Linked DNA regions of Stegostoma tigrinum. The protein of the gene in region 2 purifies or fractionates together with the protein of the main gene of each other region. This does not show direct contact. Links are inferred from orthologs where the notes say so. Each region holds a gene or a part of one and is shown on either strand. Other genes may lie near its edges.

Region 1 (10,662 bases), on a different chromosome or scaffold from region 2:
TTGAGCTTATTCATTACGAGCATCTTATTAAATATCTTTTTGGAAATCCAAAATTATATTGCTGCATCGTCTAGGCAGCATCAGAGGAGCAGGAAAGTTACTGTTTCAGGTTGGGTTGGGATCCCTCTTCAAAAATGAGGAAGGGGGAAGGGAGCTCCAAAAGAGAGAGGAGGGGTGGGGCTGGGGAAGGTAGGTAGGATGGTGATAGGTGAGTGCAAGTAGGCAGCAGTGGGGATTGGTCAGTGAGGTGGGAGGAACGGATAGGTAGGAGAGAAGGTGGACAGGTTGTGTCACCCTTATTGTTCAGTGGGAATGTCAACAAGTTCTGTCTCTGTTATATACTGAAGTAGAATATGAACATGAGTATACAAAAATAGCTAGACCATTTGTCCCATCATGCCTGCTCAGGGACTCAATATAGGTCATGTTAAATGAATTCTTTAATATTTCTGCTATCACTCTATTGTTATCTGTGGCACTATTCTTTTATTTCTTAAAAGCCCTATTCCTAGCTTTTCTTTTTTATTGCTGTGCATGTTAAATACTTATAAAATACATACTTTGTTTTGTGTTTCTTTATTATTCAATTCCGTAGTATCTCTTTGCCTCCTAATTTCTACATTATCTATAATTACGCACACCTCTGCTGTCTGTGTATTAATGCATGTCTCTTTCTGAAATGCAAATATTCCCTTCTCCATGGAGTCTCGCTGGTTTAATTTTGTTTTTTTTCAGAAAAATGCATTTTTCCTAGACCCCGCTACTGTACAAATGCTATGAAAAACAATAATTTCCCAATAATTATTTGAGATCTGATAGTGTTCAAACTTATGAAAGGAAATCACAGATGAGGAAAACCTACTTACAATGTTTGCCAATGGTAACTGAAGCAAATAAATATAAGAATATATGTAAAATAAACATGTGTTTAGGATTTTTTTTAATCATGAAGAGTTGTAAGTTGTAGAATGCCCTACTGGGAAAAAGATGCAAGCTACATGGAAAAAAAAATTACACTTGGTAAAGCACAAGTGAATGTACTTTGCCTGTGGAATTTAATCACATTCAAAACATCTGGAATCATTCTATAAACTGTGGTGGTATAACTGCAAGTATCTATGGAAGTATAAACTTCACAGACAAAAATGACCTTCCTCATGTTATATTTTTTCATTCGAGTTTTTGTACATGTGGCATTCACAACTGCCCAATCAATTAAAAACTAGATACAAAAGACCTAATTTGCAGTCAATGGATTCTTACCATTTGTGATGGTCATTTTGTGACTTTTGAGCTGTGAATCATATTGGCAAACTTATTGGACAGCTTTTCCCAGCATTATTTAAATGCAAATATGTAAACTTTATTGAAGTCTTGTTTGTTTTATTGCCAACAGGTTCTCAATTTTTCACTTTTGGAGCTGTTCCTTCCAGATTGCATATTTTGTTTTGTGTTCCTATATAATTCAATTCCATAGTACCTCTTTGCCTCCTAAGCTCTACATTTTCTCTTATTATGCACACCTCTGCTCTCTATGAATTGATGCATATCTCTTTCCTAAATGCAAATATTCCCTTCCCCATGGAGTCTCACTGGTGTTAAGGTTGTTCTTTGTTTCTTTAGTGAAATCATCAACCCCCATGGCAACTTGATTTTACAGTGCATAACAGTGTGTCTCACTGGTTTTCACCATATAGTACAGTGGTATAAAAACAACCTGATAATGACTTTCCCAGATGCTGATAATGATGAAGTAAACAAGTTTGTTTTTATACAGCAGCAATTTCTGTTGTTTATGTATTTAAAATTCATTAATTTTGTAATTGATGCAATATTCAATTGTTCGTTACTCATTGATTAGAATAGCAGCTGAAGCCTTTTATCTTCTATTAAGCAAAATTCGCTTTCCACATCATCATCAGTGTTGATTAACATGAATGAATTGTACAACAGTGCTGTGCATGAAATTGTAAATCTTCTAGAGATTTGCTGCCGCAATGAGGACAATTAAAGTAATATCAATTTGCTACAGTATCAATTTATTTTATTAACACTCCTTGTTCTCTTGTTCTGACTCAGAATGGATTGAAGGTCTACTCTTTCAATTCAAATGATTAGATAATTCAATTATTGCACTGAAAAATAAATTACTTTGACTTATCAGTAGACTGTATCAGAATCTAAATTATATTGAATCAAACATTAGTGTAGTGATTGTAATGAGGTCAGTCAGGAGGACCTCATAGAATATGAGTTCTCTGATTGGGGCTGTTAACCTGGTCCAATCAGGGAACCCTGGATGACAGACAGAAACAAGAGTATCAGAGGTATTGTTCACTTTGAGATCTGGCTCTGAGGAAGTCAACCCAGTGTCAGGTACTGCGCACGTGTAAATAAAGGGGGCTTGGTGAAGGGATACTAGCCTCTGTGGAGTTACTTCAATTAGTTTCTCACTTATAAACTGTACTCGGAATATGTTTCCACATGTATACTGACAACACCCATCTCCATTACATATATCCTCGCTCAGCTCTTTCATGGTTTCTTAATGAACTTCAAGCTAAATAACAGGAATCTCAAAACCATTGTCTTCATTGTCTATTCTTTAGCTACGAAGTCCATCAAAATTTGTACTTTTGACTAAGCTGTACTGCTACTCATAAGTTGGTATCTATATGATTCTAAGTTGAACTACTGATCACATAACCACTGCATCAAAACTGCCGTTTTTTTAAAATTGCTGCAAGGTTCCTCTTACTTCCGTTACCTCAGCTCATCTGCTGTTGAAACTATCATCCATGATTCTGTTATCTCTAGACTTAGTTGTCCCAAGGACTTATGGCTAGCCTCCTACTTTCCAAAAATGTTAGGTTATGTGAATCTCTTGCTGTCTGTATATTATACAAAGTCCTGTTCAACCACAACATTTTGAGTTTGTTGATCATGGTCTGAGAATGCATCAATTTTTAATTTTGCGCCTGTATTTTCAAATTCCTTTAGCGTCTTAGTATTCTCCTACCTGTTCTACAACTCTCTGAGATCTCTGTGCACTTCAATTGCTTTGCTTATCACTGATATTAATCATTCTACCACTGGTGGTTATGCTGTCAATTGCCTAAGACCTTAGGTCTGAAGTTCATTCACTAAACCAATTAGCCTCTTTCTCCATAGGGATGAATCCTAAAAGCAGTTTTTAATCATCCCTTGTACTACTTTCTTATCTGAGTTAGTATCAAGTTTTGTTTTGAAAGTCTTTTATTCCTGTGATGCACTTTGGAACCTTTACCACATTAAAGTACAGCACAGAAATTATATGTAACAGCTGAATCAGAACTGTTTCTGCAGGATTCTTTCTTGCATCCTTTGAAAATATTAAAAGTATTTAATTGATGACACTACCACAAGAATGATTGCTCTGGGCAGTAAATCTGTTTTGCAATCTAGATCTCATGTCAATTGCACATATGGTAAGAAAACAAAATATAAATTATAACCAGCACTTAACTGAATACATTTTATGTGAAAACTACTGGAAGCAGAAATATTATAGAATTTCATGAAAATAATTAAACAGAAGGTGGAGACTCCACAATCATTCCTTTCCTGGTATTTAATATATCTCAGTTGACCAGTGAACACAATGCTGAAATGCTTGCAATTGTCTTCAATGACAAGTGTTGAGCGAACGATGCATTCCAAGCTAAAACTGAAGGTCTCTGTATTGGAGATGCCAGTCTTTAGCCAATTCTATCAATTCTATTTACCCCACGTGATGTCAATGCAACTTCATAGACAAAGCATATGAGCCTTGGAAACATCCTCGCCATAGCACTGATGACTTGCACTTCAGGGCTAACCATACTCATAACTGAATTGTTCTACTAGAGCTAAAACACTGGAATCTAATCAACAAAGTGCAAATTATCCAGGTATGTCCTGTCCACAAAAGCAGGATAAATTCATTCTGATCAGATACCCCATCCCATTGATCTCCTGTCAAACATCAACAAAGTCCAACTCCAGGGGAGAGGCTGTGGAATTTTGAAATCAGTTGCTATATTGAAATATATGAGAGAATGGTAAAGTATGACTTGCCTTTTGCTTTTCTTACCTAAAGTCTAAATCTTGTGAATGATACAAAGAAATATCTTAAAATATCTCTGATTTCCTGAGTGTTCATCCATATTCCCACTTAATGCCATTCAAGGTATTACCTTCTTCAAATACAGATGTACTTAGAGAAAGATTTATTCCCTGCAATCTTAAATGGCTTCTTTACTTTGCAGATTAACCAGCTGTTAAGTCTTTATCTTGTCCTTTTCTTCTGTTTATCACCAAACTGGACAATTTAGATTTGAGGATTGTAAATAATCTGATTAGTCATAAAGTCATAACGCATGGAAACAGACCCTTTGGTCCAACTAGACCACACTGACCATATTCTCAATCTAAACTAGTCCCACTTGCCTGCGTTTGGACCATACCCCTCTAAACCTTTCCTATTCACATACTTATCCAAATGTCTTTTAGATGCTGTAACTGTACCTGCATCCACCACTTCCCCTGGCACTTCAAACCATGTACAAACCACCCTCTGCGTAAAAAGGTTGCCTCTCGTGTCCTTTTTAAAACTTTCTACTCTCACCTTAAAATATGCCCCCCAGTTTTGAACTTCCCACTGTCAGGGAAAGATCCTTGCTATTCACCATACCTTCTTTCATTTTGGTTTGTCCAGAGTATAAATTTACATTATATTTTAACACTGTGCCATTTTTCTATGCTTCATCCCTTGAAAACACAGATTACTCTAATTAACTTCTTCATTACTACATAAGGTATCTCAGCCAGAGTGTTGGGTACATTTCTGGGTGCCACATTATTGATGCATTGTGGAGAGAGTACAGAAGCTGTTTACAAGAACAGTTCCACAGATGAGGAACTTCAGTTAGATTGGAAAGGTTGGGACTATTCTCCCTGGACAAACAAGGCTAACATGAACTCTGACAGCAGTTTACAAAATCATGAGCAGGCTGGATAGAATCGAAAGGAAGAAACTGTTCCCAAATGTAAAAGGAACAAAAACTAAAGGACATAGATTTAAAATGATAAGTGAAAGAAGTAAGGATAATTTTATTTCACTCAATGAGTAATTAGAATCTGAATGCACTGTCTAGAAGTATGGTGGACGCATGTTCAATTGAGGCATTTTGGATAAAAGATAACGTGCAAGAATATGGGGCGGGGTGTGGCGAAGCCGGACATTGGAATTGGGCAATGATGCTCATTTAACCAGCAGGGATAGGTATAATGGGCTGAATGGCTTCCTTCTGCTCTGGGACACTCGTGATTATTTGTTCCGACATCCACCTTCTCAAACCAGTGTTTTCATTGTCGTCTCCTCTATGTTGAGCCCGATTTAGTGGGTCAGAGTGGGGAGTCCAGCCTGACCGGCTGAGAGTTTCCTGCATTTCCTGTCTGTATTTCGGAATTCTGGTACCTTTTCTCTCGTATTCTTCTCTGATGCCGGGTCGGCTGCGCTATCATTTGGCAATAAACTCTTGGAACTCATCTGCAAGGAAGTTGGGCGATTAATTGAGGACCAGCTCGAGGAGATTTGTTGAAACGCTGGTACTTTGCGATTGTTTATTGCCAGCTCTCTCTGTATAAGGTCCCTGTAATCTCCACCAGTGTCCGGGTTTTTTTTAAAGACGAGAGCAGAAGCGTCAGCAGGTCCGATGGCTGGAGGGAGGGCTGCGAGCTTGCACTGGGTTAAAAATAGTGTATCGTCCTGCAGTCTTTGCTCGCCCAGCTTCTGCTCACTTCGCTATCAATGTCTGCCCTGAACAGCATTCTGGGTTAGGAATGTCAACATGGCTGCAGACATCGGAGAACTGCTGGTGCCGTACATGCCAACCATCCGAGTCCCTAGATCAGGGGACAGGGTTTACAAGAGCGAATGCGCCTTCTCCTTTGACTCCCCTGTAAGTAGGCAGGCTGCCCTTTTGGGAGGGGGATCGCGCACACGGAAACTTTCTCGCTGGAAGTTTTCCACTGACACGTGAATGACTGCACAAACTAACGATGCTCCTCTGGATTTAGGAACCTAACTGATAGCGACAGGCTGTCGACAGTGTGGCAGTTCTGGACTTTGTTAAACGAAACAGAGAGAGACCGCAGCAACTCAGCAACCTAATGGGGCCAGAATGTAACAGAAAGCAAACAAAAAGTGTGTGGGGCTTGACATGTCAGTGGGCGTGTGATCCCGATCATTTAAACAGAACTAAGGAGGAAAGTCTTACAAAGCAAAGCGTCAGGAGTCAGCTAGTATTATGATTTGTCAGCTTTATTTGAACGAGTAACGTTCAATTTCAAAAAGCACTTTAAAAGGCAAGTTAAAAGTAAGGGACTTCTTAAATATGTTTTTAAAGAGTTATGGAAAGGAAGAGAATTAAAGTCAAAGGTGAAGGAAGATACTTTTTAAAATAACTTTTTAAAAAACTTTTGAAAATTCAAAAAGATGGCACATAGAAATGCTACTTTTGTTTTATCAAAATTAAATACAAATGTTAAAGTATAGTAAAAGGTGACTCAGCTGTTTGGCGTGCATCAACAGTGCCTGAGACAAGTTATTTATATACGGAGAGTTTGGGGGTCGCGGTATCGTATTTCTTTATTAATACACTGAAGGTTGTGTACTTCTTAGTTTAAAAAAACAATAAATTAATGTATTTACCAATTATTGATTTTGTGGTAGTGGTAATTTCGAAAATATTCTTAGTTAATCCTATGTTTCTTTTATTTGATATGTAATGTGATCACGGTGAAAATATAGAACGTGTGTTGCCCGCCATCAAGTGGTGAACGGGTATATGGAGCGCCTTCCCATCCCGGTGTAAAATCCAAGCCAGACCTTGTCATGGTTTGTTATAGTACTGTTTGAGTAGTTTTTATTTGCTGTTTCCTCTGAAGGCACAGAATTTTTTTTTTCATTATTTGTTCTTAAGACCAAACAAGTAGTCAGGAAAAACCTTCTAACTAGATACAAAAACAGAAATTGGTGGAAAAGCTCAGTAGGTGTGGCAACATCTGCGCAGAGTAACCAGAGTTAATGTTTTGGGCCCAGTAACCCTTCCTCAGAAGTGAGAGGGTGTAAATTTAACTTTAACTTTGTGTAAGTTATAATTCCAACCAACTGAGGGAGATCTGACAAAGGGTCACTGGACTCAAAATGTTAATTCTGATTTCTATCCACAGATGCTGCCAGACCTGCTGAGCTTCTCCTAGTAATTTCTGATTTTACAGCATCCACGGTTCTCACTATTTAGTTAAAAGGAAAACCAAGAGAATATGAAACTTGCTACCACAAAGGAATAGGTTAATGAAATATTGCACATAGATTTGAAAGAATTATTAATTGAGGAAATGTGTAAGTGTTTGGATTATTTAAAGTAGGAGGAAGTTCATACATTAACAATAATAACTTGCAGAAATGAAACTCCTTCAACAAAGTAAAACACCGTAATGTACAGGACAGAAGAGTTATTGAACAAAGTTTGATGCTGAGATATGTAGGGAAATGCTGGAGTAATTAACCAAAGGCATGGCCATGTATTTACAGACTCTCTTATAAAAGGGAGCGAGGCAAAGAAATTTGTGGAGGGAATTCTCAAACTTGGGTCTAGTTGACCAAAGACCTGGTTGTCAATAGCAGGCCAAATCAAAAAATGGAATTTGAGGTGTGTAGAGATCTTTAAAGTTTCATGGATTGCAAATTTAGTAGTTTTCTTTGTGTAAATCCTAATTCCAAGCAAAAAAAAATGCTAAAAAACTGAGGGCAAACTACATGAATTTAATGTATATTCCTGTCTTTACAGTGGGAGCTCATCAATTCTAAACTTTCATTAGATTTGTGTAAAAATCTCTACACCAGAGATAAAATATATTAAGGTTTTTTTTGCCCAAAGTGACCAATTTACACAATTTCGATTATAATATAGTGTAGGAACTTTGTAATGGAAAAACATTGGCACAGAATGTGGCACCAAGAAGTAATGTTTGGAAGATAGTTGATTACTTTGTCATAGAGTCATACAGCACAGAAACAGACCCTTTGGTCCAACCAGTTCGTGACCAGCATATACTCTTATTAAACTAGACCCACCTGGCAATTCCTGGCACATATCCCTCCAAATCTGTCCTATATGTATACCTTTCCAAATGTCCTTTTAAATGTTGTAATTGTCTCCATATCTGCCACTTCAGGATGTTCATTCCACATGCAAACCAACCTCTGTGTTTAAAAAAACAAATGCCTTTCATGTCTTTTTCTAAATAGCTCACCTCCTCTGACCTTAAAAATGTGCCCACTAGTCTTGAAATCCCCTATCTGAGAGTAAAGGCAACTATCGTTAACTCTATGAATGCAATACAGCTCAAGAACAGGCCCTTTAGCCCACCAAGCCTGTGTCGATTCTTATTCCTTATTTAAACCTACTAATTATTGCCCATCGGCAGTTTGAGTCCATCTGTTAGCCTCCCATTCGTATGTCTATCAAGATGCACCTTGAATGTTGCTAATGTGCCTGCTTCCACCACCTCCACTGCTAGTGCATTCCAGGCACCCACCACTTGTGTGAAGATTTTTTCCCGCACTTCTCCCCTAAACTTTCCCCCTCTCATCTTGAACCTGTGCCTTGTTGTTGTTGACTTTTCCATTCTGAGGGAAAAAGCCTATTACTACCTATGACCACCCTATCTATGCCCCTCATAATTTTGTAGAACTCTTACCAGCTCACCCCTCAGCTTCTGTTTTCACAGGAAGGACAATCAATCAGAGTTTATCTAACCTCTGCTGATAACTAAAACCCTCCAGACCAGGCAACATTCTCTCCAAAGCATCCACATCCTTTTGGTAGTGTGGCTAACAGAACTGCATGCAATATTCCAGATGTGATGTAACCAAAGTTTTGTACAGCTGTAACATAACATGCCAACTTTGAAATTCTATGCCTCGGTTGATGAAGGCAAGTGTACCATATACCGCCTTGCCCACCTTAGCCACTTGTGGTGCCACTTTCAGGGATCTGTGGACCTGTACACCCAGATTCCTTAATATGTCAATTCTCCCACGGGTTCTGCCATTTACTGTATGTTTCATACCTGAGTTTGATCTTCCAAAATGCATCACTTCATATTTGTCTGGATTAAACTCTATTTGCCATTTCTGTGTCCAAGTCTGCAATATATCTGTATCCAGCTACATCGTTTGACAATCCTCCTCACCACCTGCAATCCCCCCAGTTTTGGTGTTACCGCAGACCTACTAATAGAACCACCTAGATTTTTCCTCCAGATCATTTACATATATTACAAACAACAAAGGTGCCAGCACTGATTCTTGTGGAATGAGTCAAAAAGGAATAAAACTTGATAGACTGATCTGTTACTCAACTAGTCACTAGAAAAAAACCATGGCACACCTTGCACAGTTGATCCTGAAAAAGCCTCCCTCACTAGCATCCGGGCACATGCCAAAATTGAGTGTTGTCCCATAGAAAAGAAAACATTCAACACAGTTATACTCAATAAATCATATCTTATTCCTATATCACCATCTCTGGATATGACATGTCCCACTAGACTATACCCCTCATTATTTTATGAACTTCCATCCTGTCACCTCTCAACCTCCTACACTGCAGTGAAAAAAGTCCCAGCCTATCCAGCCTTTGTTTATCACTCAAACCTTCCATACCCAAGAGGGCTCTCTTCTGCACCTCCTCCAGCTTAATAATATTCTTCCTATAGCTGGGTGCCCAGAACTGAACACAGTATTCCAGTACACAGTATTAGAACATAGAACATAGAACATAGAACAGTACAGCACAGAACAGGCCCTTCAGCCCACAATGTTGTGCCGACCATTGATCCTCATGTAAGCACCCTCAAATTTCTGTGACCATATACATGTCCAGCAGTCTCTTAAATGACCCCAATGACCTTGCTTCCACAACTGCTGCTGGCAACGCATTCCATGCTCTCACAACTCTCTGCGTAAAGAACCTGCCTCTGACATCCCCTCTATACTTTCCACCAACCAGCTTAAAACTATGACCCCTCGTGCTAGCCATTTCTGCCCTGGGAAATAGTCTCTGGCTATCAACTCTATCTATGCCTCTCATTATCTTGTATACCTCAATTAGGTCCCCTCTCCTCCTCCTTTTCTCCAATGAAAAGAGACCGAGCTCAGTCAACCTCTCTTCATAAGATAAGCCCTCCAGTCCAGGCAGCATCCTGGTAAACCACCTCTGAACCCCCTCCAAAGCATCCACATCTTTCCTATAATAGGGCGCCCAGAACTGGACGCAGTATTCCAAGTGCGGTCTAACCAAAGTTTTATAGAGCTGCAACAAGATCTCACGACTCTTAAACTCAATCCCCCTGTTAATGAAAGCCAAAACACCATATGCTTTCTTAACAACCCTGTCCACTTGGGTGGCCATTTTAAGGGATCTATGTATCTGCACACCAAGATCCCTCTGTTCCTCCACGCTGCCAAGAATCCTACCCTTAATCCTGTACTCAGCTTTCAAATTCGACCTTCCAAAATGCATCACCTCGCATTTATCCAGGTTGAACTCCATCTGCCACCTCTCAGCCCAT
Region 2 (10,856 bases):
CAAGGAAGCTTTGCATATCAGAAGTGGTTGCAAGACTAAGAGCAGGTGATGGCCTAGTGGTATTATCATGAGACTATTGATCCAGAAATGCTGCTAATGTTCTGGAGAGACCTGGGTTCAAATCCCACCATCACAGATGGTGGAACTTGAATTAAGGATCTGTTGACTGTGAAACCATTGTGGAATGTTGGGCGGGGGGGGGGGAAGGCCATGAGAGGCCCTCAGCTGTACAGCCTGCAACCCAAGTACCTTCCTCCAAAAATGAGGAGGTCTGAAACCGCAGCATACTCCAAGTGTGGGCTTGCCAAGTCCTTGAAGCCAGACTCCTTCACTCCTGTATTTCCATCCCCTTGCAACATGCCTCTAGCCCTTCAGAGTTAGTTGCTGGGTTGGTGTGATCACAAATTCGTACAGAGTAGGTGAGGCCCTTTGGCCCTTTAAGTCTGCCCTGAAATAGATGACGACCCATGTCATGTCCCATTTTCCTGCACTAGGCCCTTTCGCCTCGAATGTTCTCACGTTTTGAGCGCTTGTCCCAGTCCTTTCTTATAGGGTGGGGGTGGTGATATTTCACACCTTGAAGATGGTCCTGGGCAGTGCATTCCAGACTTGGGGTGAAAATGCCCCATCTCAAACCACCTCTGAGCATACGAACGGTCACCTTAAAATGCCCAAATTTTCCCCTCTCCTTGACGTTGACCCTTTGGGGTATGGTCTCTGATGTTTCGTGAATAGCTACTGATGACAAAACTGTAGGACATCTGCAAACCAACTCCCCCGACCCCCACATACTCTCCCACCCCTAGGGAGGTTAGGGCTGCCCCTACCAAAGCCATGTTGTAGTTGAGGGTGGCGGTGGCGAGGGCTCTGCGTGCATCTTCCTCCATCTGGGCAAGATCGGTGGCTCTCCGGTCGAGCTCCATCTCCTTCTTGTGGTACAGGTCATCTGTAGAGAGGAAAGTGAGGGAGGAGAGAGAGCAGTCAAGCCAGGGAATGGGGATTAGTTTGGGGAATGGGGATCTGTTTGGGGGCTGAGCAGGGGTTTTCAAAAGGGAGCCGTCAAGTAGGGGAATGGGGATCAGTTTGGGAATGGGGATGGGTTTGGGGGCTGAGTGGGAGCTTTCAGAAGGGAGCAGTCGAGTAGGGGAATGGGGATCGGTTTGGGGGCTGAGTGGGAGCTTTTAGAAGGGAGCAGTTGAGTAGGGGAATGGAGATCGGTTTGGGGGCTGAGCGGGAGCTTTCAGAAGGGAGCAGTTGAGTAGGGGAATGGAGATCGGTTTGGGGGCTGAGCGGGACCTTTCAGAAGGGAGCAGTCGAGTAGGGGAATGGAGATCGGTTTGGGGGCTGAGCGGGAGCTTTCAGAAGGGAGCAGTTGAGTAGGGGAATGGAGATCGGTTTGGGGGCTGAGCGGGAGCTTTCAGAAGGGAGCAGTTGAGTAGGGGAATGGAGATCGGTTTGGGGGCTGAGCGGGACCTTTCAGAAGGGAGCAGTCGAGTAGGGGAATGGGGATCAGTTTGCAGATCGAGAGGAGGTTTTCAGGACTGGAGAGTGTGATTACCTGCGAACTTCTGGTCACGCTCCTGCCTCTGCTTCTCCAGTTTCTGTGCTGTCAGCCACTTGCGTGCCTCCTGCTGCTGCAGCTTCTTGCGCGCCCTCTCGTTTAGGTCCTCGCCCTCAAACTTCTGCAAACTGGAGGGTCCGCAGCGGGGGTCATCATCACTGACCCGAGCCGGCTTGTCCTTCTTCAGCTGCTCTGGGTCCCACAGGTCGAACTCCCGCTGGTCCTCTGGCCTCTGGTACCGGGTCCAGAATTCTTTCACCTCCTGGTTCAGCTGGCGGACTCTCTCCTGTTCCTGTGTCTCAAGGAGCTGGGCCGTCTTGTCATAGCGGAGGCTGTCTGCATCTGCGCAGGGGATGGGTGGCGAATAAGACATACACATACACTGTTCAGCATTGATTACTCATTCACTCTCTATCCGGAAGTCTTGCCAAAGGTCACTCTTAAATAACACACAGTGCCCGCTTCCTCAGCACTGACCCTCTGACAGTGCCCACTCCCTCAGCACTGACCCTCCGACAGTGCCCACTTCCTCAGCACTGACCCTCTGACAGTGCCCGCTCCCTCAGCACTGACCCTCCGACAGTGCAGCGCTCCCTCAACACTGACCCTCCGACAGTGCCCACTTCCTCAGCACTGACCCTCCGACAGTGCCCACTTCCTCAGCACTGACCCTCCGACAGTGCCCACTTCCTCAGCACTGACCCTCTGACAGTGCCCACTCCCTCAGCACTGACCCTCCAATAGTGCCCACTCCCTCAGCACTGACCCTCTGACAGTGCCCGCTCCCTCAGCACTGACCCTCTGACAGCGCCCACTCCCTCAGCGCTGATCCTCCGACAATGCCCGCTCCCTCAGCACTGACCCTCCGACAGTGCCCGCTCCCTCAGCGCTGACCCTCCGACAGTGCCCACTCCCTCAGCGCTGACCCTCCGACAGTGCCCACTCCCTCAGCGCTGACCCTCCGACAGTGCCCACTCCCTCAGCGCTGACCCTCCGACAGTGCCCACTCCCTCAGCACTGACCCTCTGACAGTGCCCACTCCCTCGGCACTGACCCTCCAACAGTGCTGCACTCCCTCAGCGCTGACCTTCTGATGGTGCCGCACTCCCTCTGCACTGAACCTCCGACAGCGCCTGCTCCCTTGGCACTGACCCTCTGACAGTGCGGCACTCCCTCGGCACTGACCCTCTGACAGTGCGGCACTCCCTCGGCACTGACCCTCTGACAGTGCGGCAATCTGTCTGAGCTGAATAAGTAAAGCTGCCTCTATACTTTTAAACAGAAAGGAAATGACCCTCTACACTGTCTCAATCAAACACACCCAGGATCAGCACAGGGTTAGATTCCCAGTAAAGCTCTCTCTGCACTGTCCTGCAAACACACTGTTGTATCAGACTGTTTGGAGTGCACTCCCTTGCTCCGCTATCCCTGTTTGGGTTTGGCTCTCTCTCAGATTGACTTGCTGCTTCATGCTGTGACGAGGTCTCGTGTGAGTATTGGGGCAGAGCAGCGGATGGGAGGAATTACCAAAAGCTTTGTCCCGCAGACGTTCCCTGTCCTCTCTTGCCGCCTTATCCAGTACTTGCTGATCCAGGAACGGGGTGTCCACCTTGACAGAGAAGCAAAAGAGAAAATTGCAGCAGCCGTGAGGTCGGTGGAAGAGGAAGAGGAAGAACTGGCAGGTCTCAGGCTGACCATTCGGCTCATCTGTCCCATGCCACTACTTTAGCTCCACATGGACTCCCTCCATCCCAATGTTACTTAAGCCTCATCGATGGGTCCCTCCATTCCTTTCTCCAACAGGCCCCCTACCCTATGAATAGCCCCATCAAATAATCGCCCCCTCCCCCCTTTCACAAGACAGGCAGCCCCTGTTTGCAGGTTGATTTGGTCAATTGCAGTTAGACCACAATGCAGGACAACATAAAATAATCATTGCTAAGTACAGAAAACGTTTGTGTATTGGATCTTAAAAAATGACACATAAAACTGAAAGACCTGCAGACACTGGAAACCAGAAACAAAAACAAAAATTGCTGGAAAAGCTCAGCACGTGTGGAGAGGGATCAGAATTAATGTTTCGAGTCAAGTGGCCCTTCTTCATAACTTCAGAATCCCAAAGAAAATAATATTCTGTAGGTTTGGAGTTTTTTGTATTCATTCATGGGGTAAGGGTGTTGCTGACCAGCATCATCCATCTCAGTTGCCCTTTGAGAAGGAGAGGGTGAGGTGTCTTCTTGAGCTGTTGCAGTCCCTGTGTGGTGTAGGGTCACCCCGAACAGTGCCCAGTTAGGGAGGGAGTTCCAGGATTCTGACCTCGGCGACGACGAAGGTACAGTCCGTTATTGTTCACAGTTGGGATGGTGTCTGTGTGTGTGACTGCTCACAATCTTAGAGATTTTATTCAATTTAAATTCGATGAACTGCCACAGTCCAGGTCTGCTGGATTACACATGCAGAGATAGAACATAGAACAGTACAGCACAGAACAGGCCCTTCAGCCCACGATGTTGTGCCGACCATTGATCCTCATGTATGCACCCTCAAATTTCTGTGACCATATGCATGTCCAGCAGTCTCTTAAATGTCCCCAATGGCCTTGCTTCCACAACTGCTGCTGGCAACGCATTCCATGCTCTCACAACTCTCTGTGTAAAGAACACGCCTCTGACATCCCCTCTATACTTTCCTCCAACCAGCTTAAAACTATGACCCCTCGTGTTAGCCATTTCTGCCCTGGGAAATAGTCTCTGGCTATCAACTCTATCTATGCCTCTCATTATCTTGTATACCTCAATTAGGTCCCCTCTCCTCCTCCTTTTCTCCAATGAAAAAAGTCCGAACTCAGTCAACCTCTCTTCATAAGATAAGCCCTCCAGTCCAGGCAGCATCCTGGTAAACCTCCTCTGAACCCTCTCCAAAGCATCCACATCTTTCCTATAATAGGGCGACCAGAACTGGACGCAGTATTCCAAGTGCGGTCTAACCAAAGTTTTATAGAGCTGCAACAAGATCTCACGACTCTTAAACTCAATCCCCCTGTTGATGAAAGCCAAAACACCTGCTCTTCAAAGGTTTCATTCACTACAAAGTTTGTTTCTTTCGTAAAGACAGAAGCAAAAAATGTTACCACTATGCTACCAATTCACATTTTTCCTCTCCAATTACAACAGAATAGAACGGTACAGAACAGAAACGGGCCGTTAGGCCCACAATGTCATGCCAAACAAAACGCCAAATTAAACTAATCCTTTCTGCCTGCCCTTGAGCCACATCCTTTCATTCTTTGTATATTCATGTGGTTATCTAAAAGTCCCTTAAATGCTCCTATCATATCTGCCTGTACCACCACCCCTGGCAGCACGTTCCAGACTCCTACCACTTTGTGTAAAAAATCTTGCCCCTCACATCTCCTTTGAACTTTCTGCGTCTAACCTTAAATGCATGCACTCTAGATTTAGACATTTAATCTCTGGGAAGAAGATTCTGATTATGAACCCTATCTATGCATCTCATACTTTATGGACTTCTATCAAGTCTCCCCTCAGCCTCCCCCACTCCAGAGAAAAGCACCCCAGTTTTACTAACCTCTCCTTCTAGTTCAACCCCTCTAATCCAGGCAGCATCCTGGTGAACCTCTTCTGCACCCTCTCCAAAGCCTCCACATCCTTCCTGTAATGTGGCAGCTGAATATTCTAAGTGTGGCCTAACCAAAGTCTTCCTAAGCTGTGATATGTCAGCCTGACTCTTGTACTCAATGCCCTGACGAATAAAGGCAATAAATTACTCTCTTCTTAAAGATTGAGGGCAAGTTTCAGACCATTAGTAAAGTCGTGACAGTCGTACTGGACCATTGGCATGACGTCTCATTAGAGACAGTGAAACAACTCGTGGTGATTTCACCTGAGGGTCGCCAGACCTCAGGTGGGGTGAAGAGGTCACGAAGCAGAGCTCTTTCATGGTAACTTCAGGCAGCGTGGGAATTGAAGCCATGATGTAGGCATCACAAATCAGCCAAAACGAGCTGGCAGACCCTACCCCCCAACCTAAGGGAGAGGGCAGGAAGGGATAAATGGGAGACCACTCCCTGATCCCGCGGGCATCTGCCCAACAGCCCCTCACACCAACATGTCGGGTCGCTCACCCCGATGGTCCTCTGCCTGGCATTGAAAATGCGGCTCTGGCGCTGGGCCTCTGCGTTTCTCCTCCGCTCGATGGCTGCAATCTCCTTGGGGTCAAGGGGCAGGTCCAACTTGTACATGTTGGCTCTGTTCACACAGTATGAAACAGATTAATCTGTAGAAATTATATTTATCTTCAGTGGGCTTTGGACTTTGGCAGTGTTTGAGTCTTTGCTTTCCCCTGGGTAGGTGGCCAGCCACCATTCATTCACGAAGACACCCAGAAGGAGTGCTCTCCCCAAACACTAGACAAATTGTTGCTAACTTGGCCACTGTAGCAAACAATGGTGGGGGGACGCTTTGGGTCGCCATAGCAACAAGCGAACATTGCGAGATGTGGGGGGTGAACCAACCATTCTTCACAAAGCGACACGTCCACCACTTCTCACCGCTCTGGAGAATTGCAACAGCCTGTCAGAACATGAGATCCCAGTAAAAGTCAGTGCGGTACAGCCACCCTCTAACCAGGATAGCTATGTTGAAACTTTGGATTTATTTGACTCCCCCCCCACTTCCGAGCTGAATGGGATGGAACATTCCACCTGCCCCCACCATCTGAATGCTTGACATACCCCTCGACCAATCGGAAGGCGAATCCCCTCATCCATGCGGCCAATAGAATGCGAAGACCTGGAGGGCGGGCTATGCGGATACCGGACAACGCATGCGCGGCGCAAGCTCCATCGGGAAATGTAGTTCTCGTTCCGAGGCATGCCTAGCGCATGCGCCTATTTTCGAACGGCACTCTGGGCGTTGTAGTCCATCCGCTCATTGGCTTCCAAGGTCCTGACGAGGGAGGGAACTACAAATCCCAGGAGGCCGTGCCGAGCGCCATTTCCCTCCAAGAGGCGGGAGGCCCTACTGTTCGCTGAAAGCCTCGATTGTTATTTTGGGCAGCGGCGGTTGTTGTTGGTCGCCGACGCCATGGGCTTCCTGCGGCTCATCGAGATCGAGAACTTCAAGTCGTACAAAGGCCGACAGATCATCGGGCCCTTCAAGAAGTTCACGGCTATCATCGGTCCGAATGGCTCGGGTGAGGAAATCGAGGCCGAGGCTTGGTGCTAGGCCTCCACCTCCTTTCCCCCTTGTTTAACCCTCTCCACCAACTCGGGGCAGGGGAAATAATGCCCCTGGTTTACCTCGGCATTTAGTGTCAAAATGTGGAGAATTTTCCATCAGCATCAACATTTTTACTTTTTTAACCTATATCCATAAGAAATTACACTTAAAATAAAACACTGGGAGAGAGGAGGAGCTGGGGATGAAGGAGATTCATCAGGACGTTAAACAACCAGAACAGTACAGGCCCTTCGGCCCACGATGTTGTGCTGACCTATATAATATACATTATATATTGTTATATGTTGCCTGGGAATGGAATATTTCAGCTCTGCAGAGACAAACTGTTTTGGAGCAGAGAAAGCTTATTGTTTGGGGGAAGATCTGAAAACGTTTCTGAAGATTGGTTTGGTGTGTTTGAGCTGTAGGGAGAGCCTGAGGGCTATTTTCCATGGAGCGTCAGAGGCTGAGGGGGGGTGAACTTGTACAGATTTAGACAATCACGAGGGGCACAGATAGGGTGAATAGATGAGGTCTTCTCCCCCAGGGGGTGGGGGGAGTCCAAAACTAGAGGGGCATAGGTTTGAGGTGAGAGGGGGAAAGGGACCCGAGGGGCAAGATTTCCACGCAGAGGGTGCAGTCTGTACGGAACGAGCTGCCAGAGGAAGTGGTGGGGGCTGGTGCAATTACATTTAAAAGGCGTCTGGATGGGGACATGAAAAGGAAGGGTCTAGAGGGATAGGGCCCAAATGCTGGTAGATGGGAGAAAGGTTAATTTAGTATCTCCAGTCGGCATGGATGGATAGGACGTTCTACTTGCAAAAATGACCCTGAACTACCTGGTGCCTGCCACTTCAACGCACCCCCTTGCTCCCTGGCCAATATCTCTGTCTCTGAGATAGTGGGAACCGCAGATGCTGGAGAATCTGAGATAACAAGGTGTGGAGCTGGCTGAACACAGCAGGACCGAGCAGCATCAGAGGAGCATTAAGGCTGACGTTTCAGACCTAGACATTTCTGTCGTGTTCCAGTGAAGCCCAACGCAAGCTGGAGGAACAACACCTCATTTTCCACTTGGGGACCCTACGTCCCTCCGGACTCAATAATGGAGTTCAATAATTTTAGCGCCTAAACTCTCCCATGTCCCAGCCCCTCCACCCTACACACCAGGCTTTGTTACACACCCACTGTTGTTAGGCACTAACTGTCCCCATTAACAACTACTCACCCTCTGGTTGGGGTCACCGGACCCAAAACGCTAGCTCTGTTTTCTCCTTCACAGATGCTGTCAGACCTGCTGAGCTTTTCCAGCAAATTTCATTTTTGTGTTTTACCAGGATGCTGCCTGGATTAGACGGTATGAGTTTTAGGGAGAGGCTAGAAAAACTGGGATTGTTTTCTCTGGAGTGGCAGAGGCTGAGGATTATAGACTTGATAGAAGGGTGTAAAATTATGAGATGCATAGATAGGGTTTGTGAACAAAATCTTTTCCCCAGAGCTGAAATGCCTGACACTAGGGGGAAGGTATTTAAGGTGAAAAGGCGAAAGTTCAACGGAGATGTGAGGGGCAAGTCTTACAGTGGTAGGCACCTGGAACATGGTCCCGGTTGGTGGTGGAGGCAAGTACGAAAGGGGCATTTAAGGTGCTTTTAGATAAGCACATGAATGAGCAAGGAATGGAGGGCTGTGGACCAAGGACAGGTAGAAGGGATTAGTTTGATGTCATGTTTAGCCCAACGTTGTGGGCCGAAGGGCCTGTTCCTGTGCTGTATAGTTTTATGTTCAAAGCCTATAATCCCACACTGTGCCTTCCCGGCTCGAATATAATGTGGGAAAATGTGAAGTTGTTTAGTTTGGAAAGAGGAACATAAAGACTGTATCATTTAAATGGAGGAAGACTGCAGAGAACTGCAACTCAGGGACATGGCTACATGTAGCAAGGAGTGAACCTTCCACCGTGTCCCAGTCCACTCTTCTGTCACTTCTCATTTTTCCTCACCATCCTATTCCCTCACTTCTGTGGACGCTCATGGCAATTTTCTACCTGACAGTGCAAGGTTTGGCCCTTGCTGTTCTGACTTGGGCTGCTGCCGCCTCGCCCACCATCCCCACCACCACACTAACACGCACGCAAAACACTCACTGGTCTCAAATGCACGTTTGGGGTGAAATGGCATTTGGGAGCTTTACAGGTACTTCTTTCGCTTTGGTCTGTCAAGGTCCTGCTCGCAATCTAAGAATCCCCTCTTAACAACAGCAAGACTAAGTGCAGACTATGCAATGCCTCCGCCCTAGCTATAACAATGAGCTGCCACTTTTGTTTTGCCATTTCAATGCACCATTTTGTCCCTCTGCTAATGTTTCCACACTAAACCCACTAATGTGCCCCAGTGAAGCTAAACACAAGTTGGTGGAATGACAGTGATAACACAGTGTAGAGCTGGGGGAAGCACAAGCAGGTCAGGCAGCGTCAGAGGAGCTGGAAAGCTGATGTTTCGGGTCAGGACCCTTCTGAAAATTTGATTTTCTGAAGAAGGGTCCTGACCTGAAATGTCAGCTTTCCTGGTCCCCTGATGCTGCCTGACCTGCTGTATTCCTCCATCTCCATACTGTGTTATCTCTGACTCCAGCATCGGCAGTTCTTACTACCTCTGGTGGAATGACACCTTGTTTTCTGCTTGGCTACTTTACGTCTTCAGAATTTAGCATTGAGTTTAGCAACTTCAGGGCATGATTTTCTACGCAACATTCTGATTGTAACCTGCCTCTTTTCTCCAGTGCTTTGTTTGCATTTTGCTCCTTGCAATTTTTCTCACCTACTGTACATCTTTATCCCTTCTCTCCCACCATTAGCATTCCCTTTGTCTTTTGCTTGATGTCTCCTCACCATTTGATTCACTCACTTCTCTCCCTCCTTGGTTGACAGTTTAAAGAAAACACCATTATCCCACCCTTTCACTTCTGAAGGACAGTCCTAACAAACTCAAAACATTATCACACACTTTCTGTCCACATATGCTGCCAGACCTGCCGGCCCTCCACCATTTTCTGCTTTTAGTTAAAAAGCTGAAGAACTGGTTTGAGGTGGATGTGCCCAACATATCCCCTTGATCGATTTTCCTCCCTACTCCCTGGGCACCACGATGATCTTCGTCTCTGGATTTATGAATTGCAAGATGTTGGTTCGCAGATGCAGCAAGTAGTTAAGAAGACAAATCAATATTGTCCTTCGTTGCTGGGAGAATGGAGTATCGGGTGCTGTTGAGGCCACGTCTGGAGCACTATGTGCAGTTTTGGTCTCCTTAGTTGCAAAAGGATGCACTGGCACTGGTGAGGTGCAGAAGAGGTGTAGCCCTCCTGGATTTCTGCACTGTTTTTCCTCTTATGGGTCCCTGATTTTTATCTCTCCACAGTGGGTTTCCCTGTATACGTGAGCCGCCTACCACCCCCTACTTCATCAACCATCACCCTCCCCTGTAGCCCATGCACGTATCCATCCATTCCTTTCTCCCTTGTGTTTTCATCCAGCTTCCTCCCCTTTCTCCTCCTTGAAACTCATTAATCCCTGTTGAATCTCACATTCTTGCCCACTCTCTGGGCGTAGGTATTTCTGCAAAATTCCCTGTTTGGACTTATCATTGTCTCATTGATTTCCTCCCAACTCCACCTCTAGTCCCAGCCTCCCGCTACAATTTGAAATTTGACTTCTACACTCATTTCGTTGTTTCTAAGTTGTTTCGTTGATCTGCTCACCCCTCTGCCTTTAATCTGTTGTGTAGTACAGAGTAATGATGATCTGCGTCCCTTTCAATCAGGCAAATCGAATCTCATGGATGCCATCAGCTTTGTATTGGCAGAGAAGACGAGTAACCTGAGGGTGAAGACGCTGAAGGACCTGATCCATGGTGCCCCAGTGGGAAAGCCAGCAGCCAACCGCGCCCTGGTCAGCATGGTGTATACCGAAGACTCTGGTGATGATAAGGTGTTCACCAGGGTCATTGTGGGTGAGTAGTAGACAAGGGAAGCCGTGGGATTTGTTTGCGCATTGGGTTAGA
Region 3 (10,889 bases), on a different chromosome or scaffold from region 2:
ACATAGAAACATTCCAGTATTTACTGAAATGCCACATTAACATAAGAAACAATTTAAAACTGTAGCAACCACAGTGCTAACGTCCTCTCAAGCTGTATTTACACCTTCCACTGTCAGTTTGTGTCAAATTTCCAGCTTCTGCAGTATTGTTACTTCATCAACAAACAAGATTGCCAACACCTCATGATAAACCACGAGATTAAGACTTCAGGCAAAATTGATTTCAATTATCAAAAACTGTAGTGCAAAATAACTATTTCAAAAATACATTTGCAGACTTACAGATAACTGCTAAACACTGAAACCAAAGCTAAACTTGATTGTGTAAAGCTACAAGCGATTCTTCTCCACTTATAGAATCTACAACAAGCAACAGTTGAACTAACAACCATCAAGGTCAACAAGTCATTATGACATTTTTCTTTCCAACCTAGATATTGGCTCAGGCTTTGGAATTCAAAAGAACCACTATTCAAATCAGTAAACAAGCAGGGACCACAAACTGCAGTTGAGGAAAAAAAGATAAAATGAGGCACCTAACAATAAGGTAGGTGCAATCTAAATGTCAATATCCCTTTACAGCACACGTTATTCTAAAACTTTGAAAAAAGAAAGTCATGCTTTGACATATTAGCTCTGGTACAAAAAAAATCTTCTTGGAAAGATGCAGAGATCGTAATGAGCTTGACCAGTTTATTACACTCACTGCGGTATAACTCAGAAGGAAGAATTTACTACAAATTGAACATTACAAATCTTCGGTGTGTGAGAAAGTATTTCACAGCTAATTAGTTATTTTGAGCTCTTGTAATTCTCGTTACGGGGAAAATCAGCCTTGTACACAGCCACGTGCCACAAAAACAACTGCATCAATATTCTAGTGAATTGCCAGCCTAGATTCTGCGTATAAACCCCAGCACTGGACTTGAACACACCAGCTTCCAAATAGCGAAGAATATTATCTCTCTCTCTCCTCAAACCGAAAATTCTATTTCATCTCAAGATACTCAACTCAATCCTTGGGGATCGTGGCTTCCAAGGTAGCGAGTTAAACAATGTTGCACAGGCTTGGCAACAAAGTTACCTACTTTTTGGGTCTCTTGTCCACTTGTGTTTGGAGTGAACATTGAACACAAAAGTCAGGTTCCAACTTCTCATCCTGAAAACCATCCTCATTAGCTCTAAAAAAAAAGAAAAATTGCACGATTGCAGATCCTGATTAGCTCGTGGTCAGCTTCCCTTGAGTATTTTAATTAACTTCAACTACTTTAGAAATATGCAGTCAAAAAGTATTCTGCACTAGCTACTTGACACCACTTAAAAAAAGAAGCTCCAATGAACTCAAGGAGGTTGTTTCAAAACTCTGTCTTTTCCGTCCAATCAGCTTCGTCAAACCTTGCTTGGACAACTGACTAGAATCCAAATGTGGTACACTATCCATAAATGACAAGATGATTCTGAAGTTGAAAACTGGTAATCGGCATACATTTAAAAAGTAATTCAACTGTAGTCAACAGAAGTGAAACCATCAAGAGAGTGTGATAAGTTGGAGGACTGAGGGGAATCAAAGCATTCAAAAAGGATGAAGAAGTTGAAGAAAGATACCAGCCGGCAGCAGACTAAGTCTGTAAACAATTCAGTAGTACATAAAAAATTTCTGTAGCATAAGTGAGCAAAACTAAACATAGGTCCTTTACCAGAGGTAGAAGAAATTATAGTCAGAAGGAATGTGTCTTGGGCACAGGTACAAATAAAGACAAAGAATCCCAGAACTAGTGGGGAACCAAGGATCCAAAAGAAAATGAGGAGCTTAAGGAAATAAAAAATAAGTACCAGCAGAGAGAAATAATAACTAATAACGGTAAAGTTGCCAAATATTCTGGATGGGCAGCACCTAAAAAGAACTTTTAATAAATAAGTTACACAGTGAAGTATTAGGTTTTGATCACAGAATTCCCTAGATTCTAGAACACTCCCTGTTGAGTGGAAGAAAACAAACATAACCTTGCTATTCAAGAAGAAACTAACAGTTAACCTGGTATCAGTAGCAGCAAAAATGCAAGAACGTATTATTACTACTATCATTGTAACAGGGCACCTAAAAATCATAAAATCTGTGACTGCATTATCATATTATGAAAGGGAATTAGTGTTTTCTTTAGAACACAACGTCATGGTAGATAAAACAACATATATCTAGACTTTCAAGAAAAGTTGGCCAAAAAAAAAAGTTCTCACACAAAATGAGCTCCCTTGGAACAGGGGCAACATTTGAATGGACTGAAGTTTGATTAAAGGTCAGAATAGACCGGGGATAATAAAGGATTTAAAAGGTGGCACTCTGCAACTGAGGAAACAATGGGACCAACATTTGGGCTTCAGCTATTTTCAATCAATAATCAGTAAATTTGAGAAGATCAAAAGTAATATATACACATTTCTTCATGATATTTTCTCACCTAATTTTCTAAAGAGAGAGAAACTCGAATGTTGCAAGGGGTATGTGGATCAATTAAAGATGAGAGCAGGCAAGATCACAGCAGATGGAATACAATGCAATGAAGTTAGTCAAACTGGCAGCCAAGAGTAGAATTTTTTGAACATAGAAAAAAAACCTGCTAAATATTTGTATTCAGGGGAACCTGGGTAATTGTGTGCATGAATCACAAAAATTAATACGCATAACCAGCAAGTAGTTAAGTAAGCTAATGTTAGTCCCTATTACGAAATAATGGAGCCACAAGGGAAAATACATATCGCTACAATTACCACACTAAAATTAAGAGCTGGTGCATTTTAAGAGAATTAACAAGGCAAGGGAATAGTTTGAATAGTAGGACCCCAAGTAGTACAGAGGGATCTTTGCACGCATGTCCAGAGATTCTTGAAGGCAGCAGGACAGGCAGAGATGGTGGTTAAGGCAGCAAATGGAATACTTGCCTTTCTTAGTCAATATACTGACTATAACAGCAAACAGATTATAATGGAGCTGTAATTAATGTTGATTACACCACAGCCAGAGTACAGTGTGCATTTCTGATTACCACAATAAAGGAAGGATGTGACTGCACTGGAAAGGATGCAGAGGGGATTCACCAGGATGTTGCCCAGGCTGGAGTGATTCAGCTAGGAACAGAGATTAGATAAACTGGGGTTTTATTCCCTTCCAGCAGAGAAGGTTGGGTGAGGTTTTGTTTGGTGGTTACAGAACGCCAGTAGCCTGTTTGAGGTGCACCAACTAACTTCGGACAGGCACAGATAGGGAGAAACTTTTCTTCTTGGTCTACAGAGGCATATGTTTCAAGTAAGCAGCATGGTGGGTCAAAAAGGGAGGCTAAAGGTTTGTTGACCAGACGGATGGCGGATATCTGGAACTCACTACATTTTAAAAAAACTGAGTGGAGACAGGAACTAAAAGCATTTAAGAACTATTTAGATGAGCATTTGAAATAAAGCATACAAGGCTTTATCAGCCAAGTGCTGATGGAAAATAGGATTAGAACAGATCTATGTTTTAATGATCTGTGCAGACACAAGGGGCCTTTTTCTACCTTCTAAAAACTCATTTCAATTACATTCATAATATAACATCTGGAGTACTATATACAATTTTAGTCTCCTTATTCAAGGCACAAGGAACAAGGAACAATGCTTCAGAAGAAATGTAAAAATTCACAAAATTAGTTTCTACAATGGGATGGAGGAGAATTATCTTCAGATGTCAGACCGAAAAGATTAGGCCTATGATCACCAGGCTTTCAACATTAGAAGTCATCTCAAAAGCATAAACATTAAGTGACTTCGCAAAGTCAATTCTGGAAAATGCTTTCCTGGTTGGGTATTGTAGAAATAGGGGTCAGCCTTAGAAACAGTTCACCACTTACACTGGAGACAAGATTGCCTCAACTCCAACAGGTTGTGAACATTTAGAATCCTCCAGAGGCACGTGATTTTTGGAAACTGACAAAATGAAGGAATGTGATTATAATGCAGGATGGATATTGGTGCAGGTGAACAAGTTCAAAAAGGACAAAACAGCTTAGCCTTTCTCTTTTAACATATGTTCCTACAACACACTCTTGACAGGTATCTTTCTACTGTGAATGTATGGGGTCATAACCTGCAACACCATCATCACAAAGGACAGGAAAATCTTAAGTTAACTACTATGATTGATTTGTTTACACAATAGTTTTGTACTGATCTTTAAAAATAAAAGCACTTTCCTCAAATTCAGAGCAAATTATTTAAACTATCAGATTAAGGAAAGAATTTAAATACAGCTAATGTACTTTTGAAGTACAGAAAAAAACTAGCAAGTTTTTTTGGTACAGTATTTCCCCCACCCTAATTTGTCTCACTCTCAAAAAGACAGCAAAATTGGGCACAAAAGATCTTGCCCAGAAGGGTACTTTTTAAAATGTTGTCAAACCATGATAAAACTTCTTTTTAAAAGAAAGCACCCAAATGACTGACGTTTTGAATAACAACGGGGAAATAATACTTGCGCAGCAAAACCTGTTAACCCGTTGAGGATCAAGAATGCTATCAGTGGGACGAAAATGACAAATTCTAAGAACACGGCGATTGCATCAAAAATTTGCCCTGAACGTTGACAGCCACCATATACAGGCTGCTGAAAGCAATTGTTGGGGGGCGGGGGTGAAGAAGAGAAGACAGGAAAAATACATATGTGGACGAGCTCGAATACGTCAAGTTCTAGGCCAAAGCAAAAACATGAGTACTAGCAGGCCCCGAAATCTTGCAAACTCAACCCTTACGAGAAATTAAGCATCCAGCAGTTACACTTCAAACGCCATTATTTTCCGTCTTTACGGTCCCCACACAGAGAGGCGAAGAATCAAGATTTCTCACCAGGAGTTACAGCAGAAACCAAAAAGGCTTTCACCCCGCCCGCCAAGGTCCAGCAGCCAGGATTACCCACTCTGCCGATCGCTGAAAACAAAACCACAGCGGGGAAAAGCATCGCCGACTGAGTGAAGGGGGCGGAAAATAAAAGGCAGAGCGAGACAGAAAGAAGCCCAGGCAGAAACGGGCATGTATGGAAAGCCGAGCCGCCACACCAGACGGTAAATACCCATAAATCCGGGGTCGCCAATACAACGAAACGCAGAAATAAAAACCACCAGCAGTAGCAGCAACAACGTGTATACATATACAATACAACGACAAAGAAGATCCGCAAAATTAGTGACGGTTCGTCTCCTCACCCGTGTGAGAACCCCAGACTAGTCCGGTCCAGTCTAATTCTTCAACCGCCGCTGCCTCTGCCGCCTGCCCCTAGAACGCTTCAAAATGGCGCCAATTTGTCTCCGGCTGCACCAATGAACGGAGAGCGGGGGAGGGAGGCACGGAGTCACTGACACTGTCAACACTAGTCAACTCAAACCCACAAACCCCAAATCCAATTCCCACTAGAGCACGCTGGGACAGAGAAGTGGAGTAGGGCACCCTCCAGACGCAGTGATTTTCCTCGGGGAGTGGGCTCGAAAAGCGAAAGGAAGAGAGAAAGGGGAACAAGGTCGACAACAGACGTGCTCCTGCTCTCTCTATCTATCTACATATCTCTATGTCTCTCCGTGCACGGTAAATGCGACAAAAGACATACATCGTAGTTAAAGAATTGCAGCACCTCTTAGGGGTGAATTAATCAATATACAGCCCCCGAATACGAATTGATTGAGAGGGGGTGGGGGTGAAGAACCGCGGCCCGCCTTATTCCCGGTTTGGAAGTGGTGCAGCGTTAATAAAAGTTTAGCCGAAGGAACTTCAGGACTGGGATACGGTCTAGTGGAAAATTGAAGCAAGAGCATCTCCAAACGTCGAAAATAAGGCATTACAAGTTTTAAATTAAAAAAAAATCCAAGTACAGGGTTCCGTGAGATACAGAATCGCAAGATTTTGATTTAAAGTTTTGATGACTTGATTCATATTTTGAAGCTGATTCCAACATTTTCACAACTCGGAAACATTGTTGGATATAACGGCAGAAAGTGCACGCCGACAGGAACAAAAACATATGGGTTATTTGTTGTCAAGTAGGCTTCAATTTAAACATTAGTAAAATCTTAAAAGTTTTTATTGCTTATGTCACAGAATGCGAGGTATTTTTGAGAGAATGTTAACGTAAAGCAAAGCATATGTTCAGATTACCCTGTAATTATATTTTTAAAACTCTTAAAACCCCCTGTATGTCACACCAATTTGCTCTTTGCACAAATTTTTTCCATTGGTAATACATACAGAGTAAGGGTTGACTACTTAATAATAAGAACAAATTACTATATAAATGCAAAATATTGTGGATGTTGGGAATCTGAAACAAACAATATATTTTCTGAAGCAGGCTCCAGACCCGATATGTCAGCTTTCCCACTCCTCTGATGCTGTTTGGCCTGCTGTGTTCATCCAGCTCTACACCTTGTTATCTTTATTAACATTTCCAGTCTTGAGCCCTCTTCTGCAGAACTGGACTACACTTAACAAATTACTATATAGTTACTTTTAAGAAAGTAAAACAGTTACTTTGACTTTGAATGAATCTTACAACTCAAGACTGAGCATCCACCAGACGCTGCAGGCCATCAACTGCAGAAGAATTATACTCCAGGACAATCCGCAACCTCATGGACCAGCATAAAAAACCAGTGGATCATCCCTGATTCAATGGAGAGTACAGGAGAGCATGCCAGGAGTAGCACCAGGCATACCAAAAAGTGAGATAACAAGGTGTAGAGCTGGATGAACACAGCAGGCCAAGCAGCATCTTAGGAGCAGGAAAGCTGATGTTTCGGGCCTAGACCCTCCATCTGATGTGCCATCTTGTTGTACTGTTTGGCATGCAAATGGTCCTGATTAGTGGCTTCACCACATTGGCACCTCATTTTTTGATATCAGAGATAATAGGAACTGCAGATGCTGGAGAAATCTGAAAGCACTGGAAAATGGGATTAAATATTTTGGTGGTTGTTTCTAATTGACATGGACACAATTCGGTGGTGTAGACCTCAATGACTATGATAGTAAGTGGGTTCACATAGTAGTGCCACGTTTGTATTTGAGGCATACATTTCTGGCAGAGCTCAACATGGAACACACAGCAAAATTCAGTACAAAATCTCTAACAAAAGAATTTGTTTATTGACTTGAGCTTGACTGTGATTTGGAATCAAAGGCAAAATAAACCTTCAAATATTTATTTGCAATTGTGGTCACAGTCAACTTGTCCGTTTCAAAGAGTCAATGCATACTTTCATTAAAATGTATTACTGCTCAGCAATAGCTACTCAAAATGGATCAAAATAAATAACTGGGTGAAAACATTTTTGCTAAAAACGTACAATCGTTGACTTATGGCCCATCTTTATTTGTCACGGATTTTCTGAGGAGCTTTTCAGATAATAGTCCTCTGTTGTGTTCTATTCTGTAAAAAACAATCCTGAAGCAAAATAGCATTAAATAAATCCTTACTTCTCCTTACTTTTCAGTATCAAATGGAGCAGCCGAAAGATTTGTGATAACACTCAAAAAACAAGCAGAGAATAGGTGATTAAATTTCAAAATGAAACAGAGTTGACTAATTTTCTCCTGAAATGTCAAACAACTTCACACCCTACCACAGGGTTTGATAAGGAGAAAGTTAAGGATACTTTTGAGTTTGGTTCTACCAAATTTGACTGGTACCCTTGAACACAAACAGTTCAGTCAAAAGATGTCAGCACAATGTAAACAAAAGAGAGAACAGTTTCAGGAAAAATGACTATGTTTACATTCTGAACCTCTCTCAAAGTCTCAGATGTGAGAAATGTAAGACAAGTTTACTGAACTAAAGGATACTTATTTGATATAACGGAAAGATTGGATTTTTTCATGTAGATCAAGAAATCTTAATGATTGATTAACCAAATTATGAACATGATCCATTTGGTCACAAGTTCATGTCTGAGTGTGAACCAGTTCAGAGTTCTCCCTCTGAAGTGCCAACTTCTGAGGAAGAAACAAGATCTTTTGTGAGTACCAACCAAAAAGCCTAACCAAAATCCTAGCAGAAATGAAAGAATAGCTAGGATGAATGCGTGGCTTGAGAGATGGTGTCGCAGGGAGGGGTTCAGATTTTTGGGACATTGGAACTGGTTCTGGGGAAGGCGGGACTATTACAAATTGGACGGTCTACACCTGAACCAGACTGGAACCAATGTCCTTGGGGGTGCTTTTGCTAATTCTGTGGGGGAGGGTTTAAACTAATGTGGCAGGGGGATGGGAACCAAATATTGGACAGAAAAGAGGTAGAAACGAAAGCCTGTAGGGAACTAGATAATGGAGTCAGTGTGACTAAAGGGAATAGTAGTCGGAGAGCAGATGATGAACACAAAGGGACAGGTGAACTGAGGTGCGTTTGTTTTAATGCGAGAAGTGTAGTAGATAAGGCAGATGAGCTTAGGGCTTGGATCGGTACCTGGAGGTATGATGTTATTGCTATTACTGAGACTTGGTTGAAGGAAGGGCATGACGGGCAACTAGTTGTCCCAGGATATTGATGATAGAGAGGGAGGTAAAAGGGGTGGAGAAGTTGCAGTAATGATCAAAGACGATATCACAGCTGCACTGAAGGAGGGCCCCATGGAGGACTCAAGTAGTGAGGCAATATGGGTAGAACTCAAAAATAGGAAGAATGCAGTAACAATGTTGGGGCTGCACTACAGGCCTCCCAACAGCGAGCGTGAGATAGAGGTACAAATATGTAAACAGATAATGGAAAGGTGTAGGAGAAACAGGGTGGTGGTGATGGGAGATTTTAACTTTCCCAACATTGACTGGGATTCACTCAGCGTTCGGGGTCAAGACGGAGCAGAATTTGTAAGGTCTGTCCAGGATGGTTTTCTAGAGCAGTATGTATGGAGTCCAACTCAGGAAGGGGCCATACTGGACCTGGTGCTGGGGAATGAAACCGGCCAGGTCGTTGATATTACAGTAGGGGACTACTTTGGAAATAGCGACCACAATTCTGTAGGTTTTACAATACTTACGGACAAGGATAGGAGTGGTCCTAAAGGAAGAGTACTAAACTGGGGGAAGGCCGACTATACCAAGATTCGGCAGGATCTGAGGAATGTAGATTGGGAGAAGCTGTTTGAAGGTAAATCCACATTTGATATGTGGGAGGCTTTTAAAGAGAGGTTGATTAGCGTGCAGGAGAGACATGTTCCTGTGAAAATGAGGAATAGAAAAGGCAAGATTAGGGAAACATGGATGACAGGTGAAATTGTGAGACTAGACAAGAAAAAAAAGGAAGCATACATGAGGTCTAGGCGACTGAAGACAGACGGAGCTTTGCAAGAATATTGGGAATGTAGAGCGAATCTGAAACGAGGGATGAAGAGGGCTAAGAGAGGACATGAGATATTGCTGGCAAACATGGTTAAGGAAAATCCCAAAGCCTTTTATTCATATATAAAGAGCAAGAGGGTAACTAGAGAAAGGATTGGCCCACTTAAGGACAAAGAAGGAAAGTTATGCGCTGTTTCAGAGAAAATGGGTAACATTCTTAACGAGTACTTTGCATCGGTATTCACCAAGCAGAGGGACATAACAGATGTTGTGGTTAGGGATAGATGTTTGCTTACTCTAGGTCAAGTTGACATAAGGAAGGAGGAAGTGTTCGGTATCCTAAAAGACATTAAGGTGGACAAGTCCCCAGGTCCAGATGGGATCTACCCCAGGTTGCTGAGGGAAGCGAGAGAGGAAATAGCCGGGGCCGTAACAGATATCTTTGCAGCATCCTTAGACACTGGTGAGGTCCCAGAGGACTGGAGACTTGCTAATGTTGTCCCTTTGTTTAAGAAGGGCAGCAAGGATAATCCAGGTAATTATCGACTGGTGAGCCTGACATCAGTGGTAGGGAAGCTACTGGAGAAGATACTGAGGAATAGGATCTATTCCCATTTGGAAGAAAATGGGCTTATCAGTGATAGGCAGCACGGTTTTGTGCAGGGAAGGTCATGTCTTACCAACTTAATAGAATTCTTTGAGGACGTGACAAAGTTGATTGATGAGGGAAAGGCTGTAGATGTCATATACATGGACTTCAGTAAGGCATTTGATAAGGTTCCCCATAGCAGGCTGATGGAGAAAGTGAAGTCACATGGGGTCCAGGGTGTGCTAACTAGATGGATTAAAAAACTGGCTGGGCAACAGGAGACAGAGGCTAGTAGTAGAAGGAAGTTTCTCAAATTGGAGACCTGTGACCAGCGGTGTTCCACAGGGATCTGTGCTGGGACCACTGTTGTTGTGGTGTATGTAAATGATCTGGAGGAAGGTGTAGGTGGTCTGATCAGCAAGTTTACTGATGACACTAAGATTGGTGGAGTAGCTGATGGTGAAAGGGACTGTCAGAGATTACAGCAGAATATAGATAGACTGGAGAGTTGGGCAGATAAATGGCAGATGGAGTTCAATCTGGGCAAATGCGAGGTGATGCATTTTGGAAGATCAAATTCAAGGGCGAACTATACAGTAAATGGAAAAGTCCTAGGGAAAATTGATGAACAAAGCGATCTGGGTGTTCAAGGCCATTGTTCCATGAAAGTGACAACGCAGGTCAATAGGGTGGTCAAGAAGGCATATGGCATGCTTTCCTTCATTGGGTCGGGTATTGAGTACAAGAGTTGGCAGGTCATGTTGCAGTTGTATAGGACTTTGGTTCCACCACATTTGGAGTACTGTGTGCAGTTATGGTCGCCACATTACCAAAAGGATGTGGATGCTTTGGAGAGGGTGCAGAGGACGCCCACCAGGCTGTTGCCTGGTATGGAGGGTGCTAGCTATGAAGAGAGGTTGAGTAGATTAGGATTATTTTCATTAGAAAGACG

The links.
Region 1: the proteins of structural maintenance of chromosomes protein 1A (region 2) and usp13 purify together in Homo sapiens (affinity purification with mass spectrometry; 5 studies listed by BioGRID and IntAct, with this or other methods). This does not show direct contact. The link is inferred for Stegostoma tigrinum from reciprocal best matches to the Homo sapiens genes SMC1A and USP13.
Region 3: the proteins of structural maintenance of chromosomes protein 1A (region 2) and sister chromatid cohesion protein PDS5 homolog B purify together in Homo sapiens (affinity purification with western blotting; 8 studies listed by BioGRID and IntAct, with this or other methods). This does not show direct contact. The link is inferred for Stegostoma tigrinum from reciprocal best matches to the Homo sapiens genes SMC1A and PDS5B.

What each region holds. Positions count from the first base shown.
Region 1 is NC_081367.1:37,018,691-37,029,352, forward strand, and holds the start of usp13 (ubiquitin carboxyl-terminal hydrolase 13), read left to right. Parts: upstream 1-5,721; 5' UTR 5,722-5,870; coding exon 5,871-5,981; intron 5,982-10,662. UniProt on the Homo sapiens protein: Deubiquitinase that mediates deubiquitination of target proteins such as BECN1, MITF, SKP2 and USP10 and is involved in various processes such as autophagy, endoplasmic reticulum-associated degradation (ERAD), cell cycle progression or DNA damage response.
Region 2 is NC_081402.1:3,137,618-3,148,473, reverse strand, and holds the start of structural maintenance of chromosomes protein 1A, read left to right. Parts: upstream 1-6,565; 5' UTR 6,566-6,666; coding exon 6,667-6,775; intron 6,776-10,616; coding exon 10,617-10,805; intron 10,806-10,856. Other genes in the region: RIB43A-like with coiled-coils protein 2, read right to left, coding at 828-946, 1,559-1,903, 3,089-3,170, 5,706-5,822. UniProt on the Homo sapiens protein: Involved in chromosome cohesion during cell cycle and in DNA repair. Central component of cohesin complex. The cohesin complex is required for the cohesion of sister chromatids after DNA replication.
Region 3 is NC_081359.1:81,957,049-81,967,937, reverse strand, and holds the start of sister chromatid cohesion protein PDS5 homolog B, read right to left. Parts: upstream 5,350-10,889; 5' UTR 5,232-5,349; intron 5,188-5,231; exon of another isoform or gene 4,876-5,187; intron 1-4,875. UniProt on the Homo sapiens protein: Regulator of sister chromatid cohesion in mitosis which may stabilize cohesin complex association with chromatin. May couple sister chromatid cohesion during mitosis to DNA replication.